3 linked regions of the Schizosaccharomyces pombe genome follow. The gene in region 1 interacts genetically with each later gene. Each region holds a gene or a part of one and is shown on either strand. Other genes may lie near its edges. The genes, in order: fin1, ypa1 and alp16.

Region 1 (3,758 bases):
GATTCACCACTTGAAGCACTCACTGCCGTTTCATCGCTCTCTACGCTAAGTTTGCTAACTTTTCGATTTGGTAAACCTTCACCGTCTGAAAATTTATTACACAATTCAGAAGGGCTTAGCTTCTTTCCGTCCAAAGATGTGTGCAGCAACTTGTTCATGCAATCCGCCACTTGATTCGACGTGCCGTTTTTTTGCTGTAACGATGTAATTTGGCCATCTTTATCAATAGGTGTAGTCCTTAGAGATGACGCATTAGCTCTGTATTTCATTAATGTTGCAGTCGTATGTAAGGCTCTGCTTGATAATTCTTTACGGAGAGTAGGTCTTTTCAATATCGGTTGTTGTGTAGTTAGAGTGAAACCCGGACACGATAACGTTTGCAAGGGCTTGCTAATTCCTAACTTAGGAATATGAAGTAGGGGGGATTGTGATGCTTCAATTGTACAATCTACAAACATCTCAGCGGTACTGCTTTCAGGTTGTTCATTATGATCCACAGGACTTGTAACACGCATTTTCTGCATAGAGTTTACTACGGTTTGCATGTGTCTTTGATAACGAGCATCCATGTCACGCAGTTGCTTTTCCAACTCACGTCGCAATATCTCTTCACGTTGGGCTAAGCGAGAAGCTATAACGTTTTCGAGTTCACTTTCCCGAGCAGAAAGCCTTTGCTCGCGAAATTGGAGATCATTTTCCAATTGAATAAGCATCTGATGTTTTTTATGAAGCAAATCGCTTTGTTCCAAGACTACTCTCTCGGATTCCAATTTACTACGAATATCGGATAAAATAGGAGAGCGAAGTAGCTGGTAAGTAGTAGGTCTGAGGTCTGAATTAACTTCTAAGCAATGCCTGATTAGAAGGAAAACATCGTCGCTGTAATGATGATCCCAACAGGAGAGATTACCCTGGCAAATATTACGTTGCAATTCCAAATACGACCTTCCTTCAAAGGGATGCGTAAGCATGCAGATCTCAAAAATAACACAGCCAAGAGCCCAAACATCAGACTTCGCACTGTAAGGGCTGCTCCGAATTATTTCAGGAGACATATAGTATGGAGTTCCCACGTAACTCTGTGTGAAGACACGCGTATTGTCCAGCAATTTGGATAAACCAAAGTCTCCTAACTTAACTGAATTATTTTCATCAAGAAATATATTCGCAGGTTTGATATCTCGATGCAATACAGATTGTTTAGGATGAAAAATTTCTCTTGGCCACTGTGAGTCACAAGCAGGCGCATTTTCTCCATAATGGCAGCGATACAGAGCAAGTAGTAATTGCGTAAAAAATTTGAGAACCTCTTGCTCGGTAAATCTCTTTTTCTCTTCTTTATAACGTTGAATAAGATTGGCTAAATCACCATGACCACAATATTCCATATAAAGGTTTATTACCTGCGCAGAACGATTCAATTCTTCTCCGCAGTATTGAACAATATTTGGATGCTTAAGATTACGAAGAATATTCACTTCATCTGCGATGTACTGCTTTTCCTGCCGAGTAATGTTACCAAAGTGTATTTCCTTCTGAGCCAAAAGCTAAAAAGTATTAATAACTATAAAAATAAATTGCTTTCAAACTTACAGCACCATCCTTTAAGCGTTGAACCTATAATAGTTAGCATAATGCATAAAAAAGGAGTTGCAAAAAAAAATATCGATCAAAGTTTCAATTTGAAAAACTGTTTTGAATAGAGTACAAACAATAGCGAAAAGCATTTAAATCAATATAGTTTCCCTGTTTCTTAAGAAAACAATTGATTCAATGCTATAGATTCATTTGCCAACCACAAGTAGTTGCTCGCAAATAAACTGAAAACAAGAAAGAATTTTGCTATCCAATAACCAATTTCAGTGAAAATAAGATTAAAACTTACTTTATAAATCCTTCCAAAACTCCCATGTCCAATACACTCAAGAATCTTGTATTTTTCCATACTTCAGAACAGAAGTAGCCCATGAGATTCAGGTAAGCTTAAAATAAAACTAAATTTCTCGGTAGGACCTTTAAAGAAAAAGAAAAATTCTTCTATCAATTAATAATATAAAAAATACTGCTTGGAGTGATTGAGTGCTAAGTATATGAATTTCAAGCCAAGATGTTTATGTTTGGTTCTTCTGCAGTGTCTCGTTAAATCATCAAGTGTAAACAATGTTGCCATGGTTAGGAGTAACACTGTTACTTCAGGTGCTTATTGCTACGATTATAATATATATCCAGTCGCATTTTAATTTCTGTAAGAAAAAGATACGCTATTCAATAAGCAATGAGAAAAAGTTGTGGAGAATTTTTATCATCTATAATGCCTTTTATGACATGATTGTATAAGGTTTGTTGTAAATGAGCTTGGAATTTAACAGAGTCCTTTAAATCAAGTTTTAAAAAAATGAATAGCTAAACGTATTAATATTAGTTTGAGGCTTTCAAAAGATTTATCTGCATGTTTTATAAAAATCAATAGCATTAACAATAAACTGTTATTTTGCGTTAATTGGTTTTAGTGATCTACGCTAGGCTTCATGATTCATTCCATGCAAGCCATCTCCTTCAAATGAACTTACCGCTAATTTATATACGTTGCAAAACATATGTTACACAACAGTCTATCACAAGACTCTAGTAATATTGCCGGAAACATGTCTTTTGGGGGAAGTGGTTCTATCACGAATCGATCAACCTTAAAGCCACTTTCTGTCGATGATTTACGTTCGCCCTCTCCTCAAAAAGAATATCGTGGATTTCGAACATCTGTTTCTAACATTCCACAAGAAAAAAAATTTGTTCCCAGTCATCTTTCACACTTTGGATCAAGTCAGCAGCGTCGATTTGCCCCAGAGGTTAGCTCGCCTTTAGCAGAACCATATGAGTCATCGTAAGTAATTTCTTTGAAGAGTTTAAGGGACATTTGAAGACGGAGGATTAAAAAATTGTTTAGTATAATTGCTTTTTTACCTAATATCTATCTATATCCAAATTTGTTAGAGCTTCAGCCTAATCCCTATGAATTTTTAAATATTAGACATAAACTCTTAGAACCTTTACTAATTTTCTCTAAATAGCTCTTCCTTCCGTTTATCTCTCTCGAGTCCCCCTTCTTCAAAATTCGGCGGACCCAGCTTTGGTACACCGAAACCGTTTTTGCATACAAATCGTTTAGGTACCGGATCTTTAATTGAAGATGCTCCTCCTACTCAATCCATTTATGACTTTTCTTCCTCTAGGCAAATTAATGCTCTCAATGTTGGACAAAGTTCTTCCCCTTTTTCTCCTGTCTCTGAAAAGGTATACGACCCTTCTTTTACCATGTCTGGCGCTCCTCAAGATTCAAATACCTCCGTTATCGTTTTCGGTTTCCCACCAGAATTGACAAATCAAGTAATAGCTGAATTTTCTCGTTTTGGAACTATTATTAGCGAGAATTCATTAACTGCTTCAAGTGCCGGATTCACTCCCTCCAAGGGTCCCATATCTGGTAACTGGCTACAATTAACATATGCTGAGCCTTCTTCTGCTGCCAAAGCAGTTTTGTCTAACGGAATGTTGATAAATGACTCTTTTATGGTTGGATGTATATACAGCCCCGCAGAAGCGAAGGAGCATGTTCCGAAAACGTTAAGAAACAGCAATAAAGACTTGGAAATGACGGATGCCTCTTCCTCCGAAACCTCAATGTCTATTCCCGTGCATGCTGATGCCCATTTCCAATCCCAATCTGGTCTTGGTAAAAAAGTCATTGTTCAACACAAAAA
Region 2 (3,580 bases), 3.5 Mb from region 1:
ATTTAAATTATAAAGCAAATAAGGTTGAACAGCCACCGAAGCCAACGATTATCACTTCTCAAGTTTGTCCAGTGTATACACTGGGAAGAAGGGAATCTTCAATTAATTTTACCAAAGGCTTCCCTAAGGCTAAAGTTGTTAAAGCATTGCGTGGTGGGCAAACTACATTTCATGGTCCTGGTCAAATACTTGCATATCCTATTATTGATTTGAAGTCCTTTGGATTAAGTCCACGTGAATATGTGTCAAGGCTAGAGCAAGCGATTATAGCAACATGTAAAAGCTTTGGCATCGAAAAAGCTCATACAACAAAAAACACCGGTGTGTGGGTAACAGAAAACGATAAAATTGCAGCAATTGGTATTCATTTACGCCGAAATATTACTAGTCATGGTCTTGCGCTCAATGTTAGTACGGATCTTAAGTATTTCAATTACATTGTGGGTTGCGGATTATATGGAAAAAACACTACCAGTTTTAAAGACCAAGGAGTTTTTACTGACTTAAAGTCTGTAGAGAAGGTACTGGTAAATAACCTTGATAGCTTTTTAATGAGTAAATAAATTTAAATGTATTAGAAACAGTATTACTTATAAAAAATATAATGCAATAACAGTAATGCTATTCTTGCGATAATTTGGTTTATTAAAAATTTTTTCAGTAAATTTGCGGGCTTTCCTTCCTTTTGGCCCCTATAAAATAGCTTATCAGCAACCATAAAAGATACAATAAATAAAACATAACATTAATAACAGTGACTATTTGTTTTTGAAATTGCACGAAAGATTAAAGTTAAACTACTTTGCAACTAAAGGGTTAAACGGAAAGAGATTTCCAAAATGAAAGTGTTGAACAACAGGATATTTGCTCAGCACTTCCACATCGTACATTTTTATCAATCCCTTGAAAGTAATTAGCTTAATAAATACACACTTCTTAACATACCTGATTGACCTTTGACCATATAGGAACAGCGGTTATATCATACAATATTGGGGAATGTTCGTAAAATGGGCCCTTTTTCATCACGTTTATAAACTTGATAGCACTAAAATACAAGTTGCTATTAGCTTTTTCATCCACTATTTTTTTGTTAAGTATAGCATCAGGCTTTATGATGGAAGATGATGCCTTATCAGCAAGTTGGGCAGAACCAAAAATATAAGGAATAAAAAAATGATCATCAAGCCCCCAAACTCCATGTGAGCCAGCAGGCTCTAAGCGATAAGTTTGAACGAGCTCACGACAAACTTCCAAGTAAACATGGGTTATGTACAAGGCGATAGCTTTATAATCTGCGGCATCTAAAAGTCCCAGCAAGTCCAAGCCCTTAATAAAACCCAAAAAATTTAACTCATGACCCGTACCAAAGTCAATTCTTTGAGAATTACCAAACGATCCCAAAAAATAGTCCAGTAACTCCACTTTTGCCTTACTCAATGAATCAGGAATAATGATGTCCATAATTTGAGAGGCGGAGTCACGTAGCTTTTCGTGCCATATTCGAAAAGCAGGATTACCAAACCGATGCCGACCTGATGCAGGTGGTACAGTTTTAGTAATTTCTTTAACTCTACACAATATTCGTACTAACTTTTCAACTCTTGTTGAGTATTCCACATGATAATCGTTCACACCCACAGATGCAATATTGAGACGCTGTAAAAAATCAAAAATTCGATAATATGCTTTCGATTGTCGAAACGCCGTCATATCGCTCGCCTCCACGATTAGTTTTTCGGGAGTTTTAAACTGTGAACTTTCATCAAACCTTTCATTTTCAAGCTCTAGTATTGTTTTCTCATCTACGACTTGCATTGTAAAGCAATAAACAATGAATCAATCAAGTTCGCGTATACGCCAATAGATTTACGACACTCACTAAGTTACAGGCTTTGATGAACGACTCTTTATTAAAAAAAACCAGGACCAAGTTAAAGAATATAACAGCAACTATAACAGCATTTAAAAACAGCTTGATATTGCTTTCATCAAGATAGAGTATAATAGCAGTATTCGAGAAGAAGCATTTAGCTTATTCAATAACTTGATTAAGATTAGTTTAACGATAATTAGTACTATGGATGTGATTATATCCTAAAATCTTTATAGTGATGTATCCATATGTTAATTCGAACCACTTCATAACAATACGCTACCGAAATAATTATCTCCTAATCAATATTTAACGATATGTTTATTCAATACAATCGATGCAAGAAACGAATATAATAATTTCAACCAGTTTTTACCAAACTGAAAAACAAATGGGGAGAAGCAGCAAAGATAAGGTATGTCTCGTGCGTTACTGAAACCTTGTAAATACTTAACTTTGTAGCGAAAAGTTTACGTTAATTTTATCGAAGTTATATCGTATATTAATGTGTAAACTTTAATGTTTCTCAGTCGCATATAGAAACATTTTAGTTTATTATTTCATTTTTTTTTTATTGCTAAATAATTATTTAACTATTTATTTTGTTAAAATACTAACTTTACACTTTTTTAGAGAGATGCCTATTATCGTCTGGCGAAGGAACAAGGGTGGAGAGCCCGCTCAGCTTTCAAATTGCTCCAATTAAACGAACAGTTCAATTTATTTGAAGGAGCAAAAAGAGTTGTAGACTTATGTGCTGCACCGGGGTCTTGGTCTCAAGTTTTGTCTCGTGAGTTACTCAAAAACATTGATACTTCCATTGCCGCAGATGAGAAACCTATGATTGTTGCTGTTGATCTTCAACCCATGGCACCAATCGATGGGGTATGCACCCTGCAATTAGACATTACTCATCCCAACACCCTTTCAATTATTTTGTCTCACTTTGGTAATGAACCGGCTGATCTCGTAGTTAGTGATGGTGCCCCAGATGTTACTGGTTTGCACGACCTAGATGAATATATTCAAGCACAGATATTGTTAGCTGCATTTAATTTAGCGGTTTGTGTTTTAAAGCCTGGTGGGAAATTTGTTGCAAAAATTTTTCGTGGACGAGATGTTTCACTGTTATACTCTCAGCTTCGTTTGATGTTTCGAAAAGTTTCTTGTGCTAAACCAAGAAGCTCTCGTGCTAGCTCTATCGAGTCCTTTGTCGTTTGTGAAGATTTTAACCCCCCTTCTAATTTTCAACCCGATTTAACAAAACCTTTATGTGTAATCGATCCAACCAATGCTCATGAGATTGCACCATTTATTGCATGTGGTGACCTTGATGGTTATGATGCGGACGCTACTTATCCCGTTGAAATAAATATGAAAAAGGCTACCTTAGACGTTATACAACCTCCAACCGCTCCTCCTTATAAACGAGCTATCGAATTGAAGCATAGCAAGATGATGTCGTAACCTATTATTCCAATTGTCTCTTTTTTATTTAATCTTTTCTTTCGTTTAATTTAGCAGTGGGTTTTACTATTGTATATTATATAGGTATAATCTATTTTTGAACCTATCATTCTTTTTTCATAAAAAAATTAAAGAAAGCAGGATGTGTTCGGTATACTTATAATCAGAATTTCCTCTTATGAATTTTTATCTAAATCAATTACTTTTGATACACACATGCTTTCGTTGAAAGACTTG
Region 3 (3,758 bases), on another chromosome or scaffold:
CGTAAGAAAAAGTTTTCGAATAATAATTTAAAGAGTTATCAGTAAATAATATCCGTAAAGCACCTATTACTTGGCATTGGAATTGTAAATCAGGGTACACATCCTCAAATTCACTAACGCTCGCAGAATCCAATGTAAAAGTTATACTCTTAGATAAAGACCTGCTCAACCCATTTTTTTCTTTTTCCATAAAAATGAATTTTTTCAATCGAGAAATAAAATTATATCTGTCATCAGAGTTCAAGTCCTCAGCCAACTCATTACGGTCAGATTTATCAAGCCTTCTTGATTTTAACAGAGAAATGACATTATCAGAGAATTCATAATTTTGAAAAAGAAAAGTGGAATGAAAAAAATTTAAAAGATCAAACACCTGAAAATCGTTTTTTAAAACTTTATATGTCGAACGTAAGAAACTGAGAATAAAAGATTGTATTGGCTCAGCAATACAGCAGCAAACATTCAAGTTAAGCGGACAGACGTTGCGCACATCATCTGTAAATTTAAGTTGTAATAAATTATCGTTGAAATCTGGAGTCATGTTCATTTTAGCAAGCAGCGTTTCAAATTCTTCACTGTCATTATTGACGGAAGTTTGTTCCAAATTACCAAAAGAAAGCGAAGAAAAGTTGCAGCGCTCCTCTATTACACAAGCTTGATTTATGTCGTTGAAAGAATATGCGAACCGAATGTTCAAAGGGTTAATAAATTCTTTGTTGTTTTTATTAAATATTTCTTTTTGTTCCCTTATTAATGACAAAAATTGAATACACTGTTCAATGCTTACACAAAGTTCAGAAGGAAAAAAACGGGGAAGTGATAAGAACAATGAAGAATCAATGTGACCATACGCACAAGAAACTTTTAAAGCAAGCTCAAGCCTTTTGAAGTAGGGATTTGAGCAATATATCAAGCACTGTAGGGCAATGGGGTAAGATATGGTATTCTGACATGAACGCGCATAATCAAAAAGAAAATCTAACAAGGAATCTCCTTTTAGGTTTTGAGCCGATTTTATTAAGAAGTGTGAAATTAACTCAAAGAATGAAGAAAAAGAATTAACAAAGTTACTTAAACCAATCAGACCGAATCTACGGAACTCATAAAGACGAAGCCAACGCTGAAACTCCTTTCGATACTGCAAGACACCATTCACAATGAAATTTGATAAATAAAAAGAAATGTTGGTCTTGTATAAAGAGAATTCATTTAAAGCTTTTTTTATTAAACCCCCAATTGCAGAAAATTTCTGGACGATACTAGCAAAACATTCATCGGACATTCCTGAAACGGAGATGGTCGGATCGAGTTCAAATGTGCTTGAGGTTTTGTTCCATGGAAACACTGTGCTTTCAAATCCTTGTGGTAAACCAGCCACGCAATTGAAAATAGTTGCTAAAGGGTAAACTTGCAGTGCAGAAAATAATGGTTTCGGACTCCAATCCTGATTATGAAGAAAATAATCATATACCCGAGAAGGCGCTTCAGATATGAATGGAGATCTAGCTTCTAAATTTTTAAAATTTTCTCCATCCCAGCTAGGGCATGTTAGCAGAACTTTGTTTTCGACAGATAAATCGCTGGGTGATGAATCTGTAAGATAAGAGGGGGACACTGAGGATTTAGCTCTTTTTCTTTCTGAAGTAATTTCCTTAGATGCGCTTATGAGTTTGGAATTGGATGATGTCTCACACCCAGGCACAGCGGGTGTTAGTTGTTGATTTGAAATATCGAGAATGACATCTTTTCCCAACAGATCATCGTTTACTTGAAATGAAAAGTTTTGAAAGTATTCCGAGGAGTCAAATAACTTCCTCTTCAATCCTTCTTTTCCCTCAAATTTCGAAAGCTGCTCGACAAAATCAGAATCAAATGAATTTGGCGTAAGGTCGAAAACGTGGTTGCCGAACCATAACAAGTCGTTTTTCATAATTCCATCCATTCCATTTTTATTTCAAAATCATCTATTTTAGTGGTACATTTCAAGATCCAACTCCTTTACTGGAAAACACTCTTGTTATGAATTACTAAAATTTGGCAATATGTGTGTAGTTAATGTATAATGTTGTTAACGTAGCGAATTAAGATGACTTCTTATCTAGAACAGTCAGGATTAGAAGATGTGAATGAAGTATGCGTCTCTTAAACTAAGAAATGGAACGTTAGTAATTGATCCTAACATTGAAACCAATTCAAAAATCCGTACTCTCGTGGCCGTACAACAGAAAATACTGACATGGAGTTAAAGGTATCCAGGATGAATAAAACAGAATGATAAATTGAACAAAAACTATCAGTTGTTAAGGAATTACTATTGCACAATTGCATAATCTATCCAAAACGACATTCCAGCATTTAATTTTAAGAGAGTGCTATGTGGATAAAACGTATCCTTTATGGAACTATAAGAGCTCTTTTATGCTTCTCTGGTTAGTACATTTAGATTTTTTTAAAAAAAAGTTTATTGTACTATTCGTGATATTATGGTTACAGTATACCTCGCTGGCTTGATCGTTTATTGTCCAGAGAGCTCGCATGCGAGTCAAAGCTGAATGAATGGTATCTTCATATAAAAAAAGTCTATTTGGAGAATTTTGGATCCTTCAACAAATTTATTTGAAGTACTTAATGTTCTTTCTTAATTTTTCTCATAAAACCATGTGTCAAGCAATGAAGGATTTAAATATTGTTGGCAAAAGAAATGTTGCAATCACTAATTCAAGTTTGTTTAGAAGCTTGCATTATATAGTTATCGACTTTTCTTTTGCCTTTGGAAAGGGATATCTTCATTATTCTTAATGAAACAGTATAAAATTCTTTTAAACACTAGACTAGATAAGTTGTTTTAATTCTTTCTCAAAAAACATAAACGACAGTCTAACTCTAAAATAATCGGGATTTTTGTGACACCAATGGTATAAAAATGATTAATTAAAAATTTTTGCGGATAACACAAGACTTTGTACTTTGTATTACTGGAAAATTTAGCTAATTAAAAAGGAGAACACATAAGCAATGTATTCTGGAGGTCAAAATCAATTGATTTTAACCTCCAAATATCAGCTTGATGTACCTTTTTTGCCATGACGATAATACATACAGGACTTTATAAAAATCAGCTTGGATTAAATGACAACCTACTTATCTAGAAATAGAATTTAAAATAAACATTCAGTACCCCCAAATCCTTTTTATAAATTAAGACTAACTATCACTATCAGATTCCAAGTTTATACTTGGCAAAGAGATATTGTCTTCCTCCTCATCATCTTCTCCGTTTCCTTCCACATTAATAGAAGTCGTTTTCTCATCTACGACATCCGTTGTTTTTTCAAAAGTTTCGACGACTGAAGAAGTTGTGTTTCCATTTTCATCACCATTTATGTTTTCAATTTGGCTTGAAACTACACTAGTAGGTCGGTCAACAAAGTCAACGTCTATAGCAGTAAATTTGGTTTCAGTGTCCTGAGAATTGTTTAATGCAACATTTGTAGTCTCCTCAACCTCAACATCTCCATGCAACAGTGAAACAGTTGTTTCCTTGTTTTCCGAAACAATGTTAATGTGATCAGTCCCGTGATTAATAGTTGAAGGTTGAGAAGAGTTGATTTCACTACCTTCTTCATTTCTGTCACCCTCATTAGAAAGAACATTAGACATAGTCAGCTCTGATTCGCTTCTTTTGTTCTCGGAGGTAGCTGTAGAATTATTCTGTAAGCCTGTATCTGTAGATGCAAAAGACTCTTTGATCCCTTCAA

What was found.
Region 2: mutations in fin1 (region 1) and ypa1 together harm fitness more than expected from each alone (negative genetic interaction), as found in Schizosaccharomyces pombe (2 studies listed by BioGRID).
Region 3: mutations in fin1 (region 1) and alp16 together harm fitness more than expected from each alone (negative genetic interaction), as found in Schizosaccharomyces pombe (2 studies listed by BioGRID).

The regions. Positions count from the first base shown.
Region 1 is NC_003424.3:1,352,547-1,356,304, reverse strand, and holds the start of fin1 (NIMA-like serine/threonine protein kinase Fin1), read right to left. Parts: upstream 2,085-3,758; 5' UTR 1,946-2,084; coding exon 1,886-1,945; intron 1,618-1,885; coding exon 1,594-1,617; intron 1,548-1,593; coding exon 1-1,547. Other genes in the region: nucleoporin Nup40, read left to right, coding at 2,646-2,881, 3,069-3,758. UniProt on the Schizosaccharomyces pombe protein: Promotes chromosome condensation and nuclear envelope dynamics during mitosis. Activity appears at metaphase-anaphase transition.
Region 2 is NC_003424.3:4,834,633-4,838,212, reverse strand, and holds ypa1 (type 2A protein phosphatase regulator), read right to left. Parts: upstream 2,019-3,580; 5' UTR 1,819-2,018; coding exon 946-1,818; exon of another isoform or gene 903-945; coding exon 798-902; 3' UTR 623-797; downstream 1-622. Other genes in the region: lip2 (lipoate-protein ligase), read left to right, coding at 1-563; trm7 (tRNA 2'-O-ribose methyltransferase), read left to right, coding at 2,268-2,291, 2,510-3,343. UniProt on the Schizosaccharomyces pombe protein: PPIases accelerate the folding of proteins. It catalyzes the cis-trans isomerization of proline imidic peptide bonds in oligopeptides.
Region 3 is NC_003421.2:432,733-436,490, forward strand, and holds the start of alp16 (gamma tubulin complex GCP6 subunit Alp16), read right to left. Parts: upstream 2,055-3,758; 5' UTR 1,943-2,054; coding exon 1-1,942. Other genes in the region: ribosome biogenesis protein Rix1, read right to left, coding at 3,205-3,758. UniProt on the Schizosaccharomyces pombe protein: Component of the gamma tubule complex that is required for the regulation of both interphase microtubules and mitotic bipolar spindles.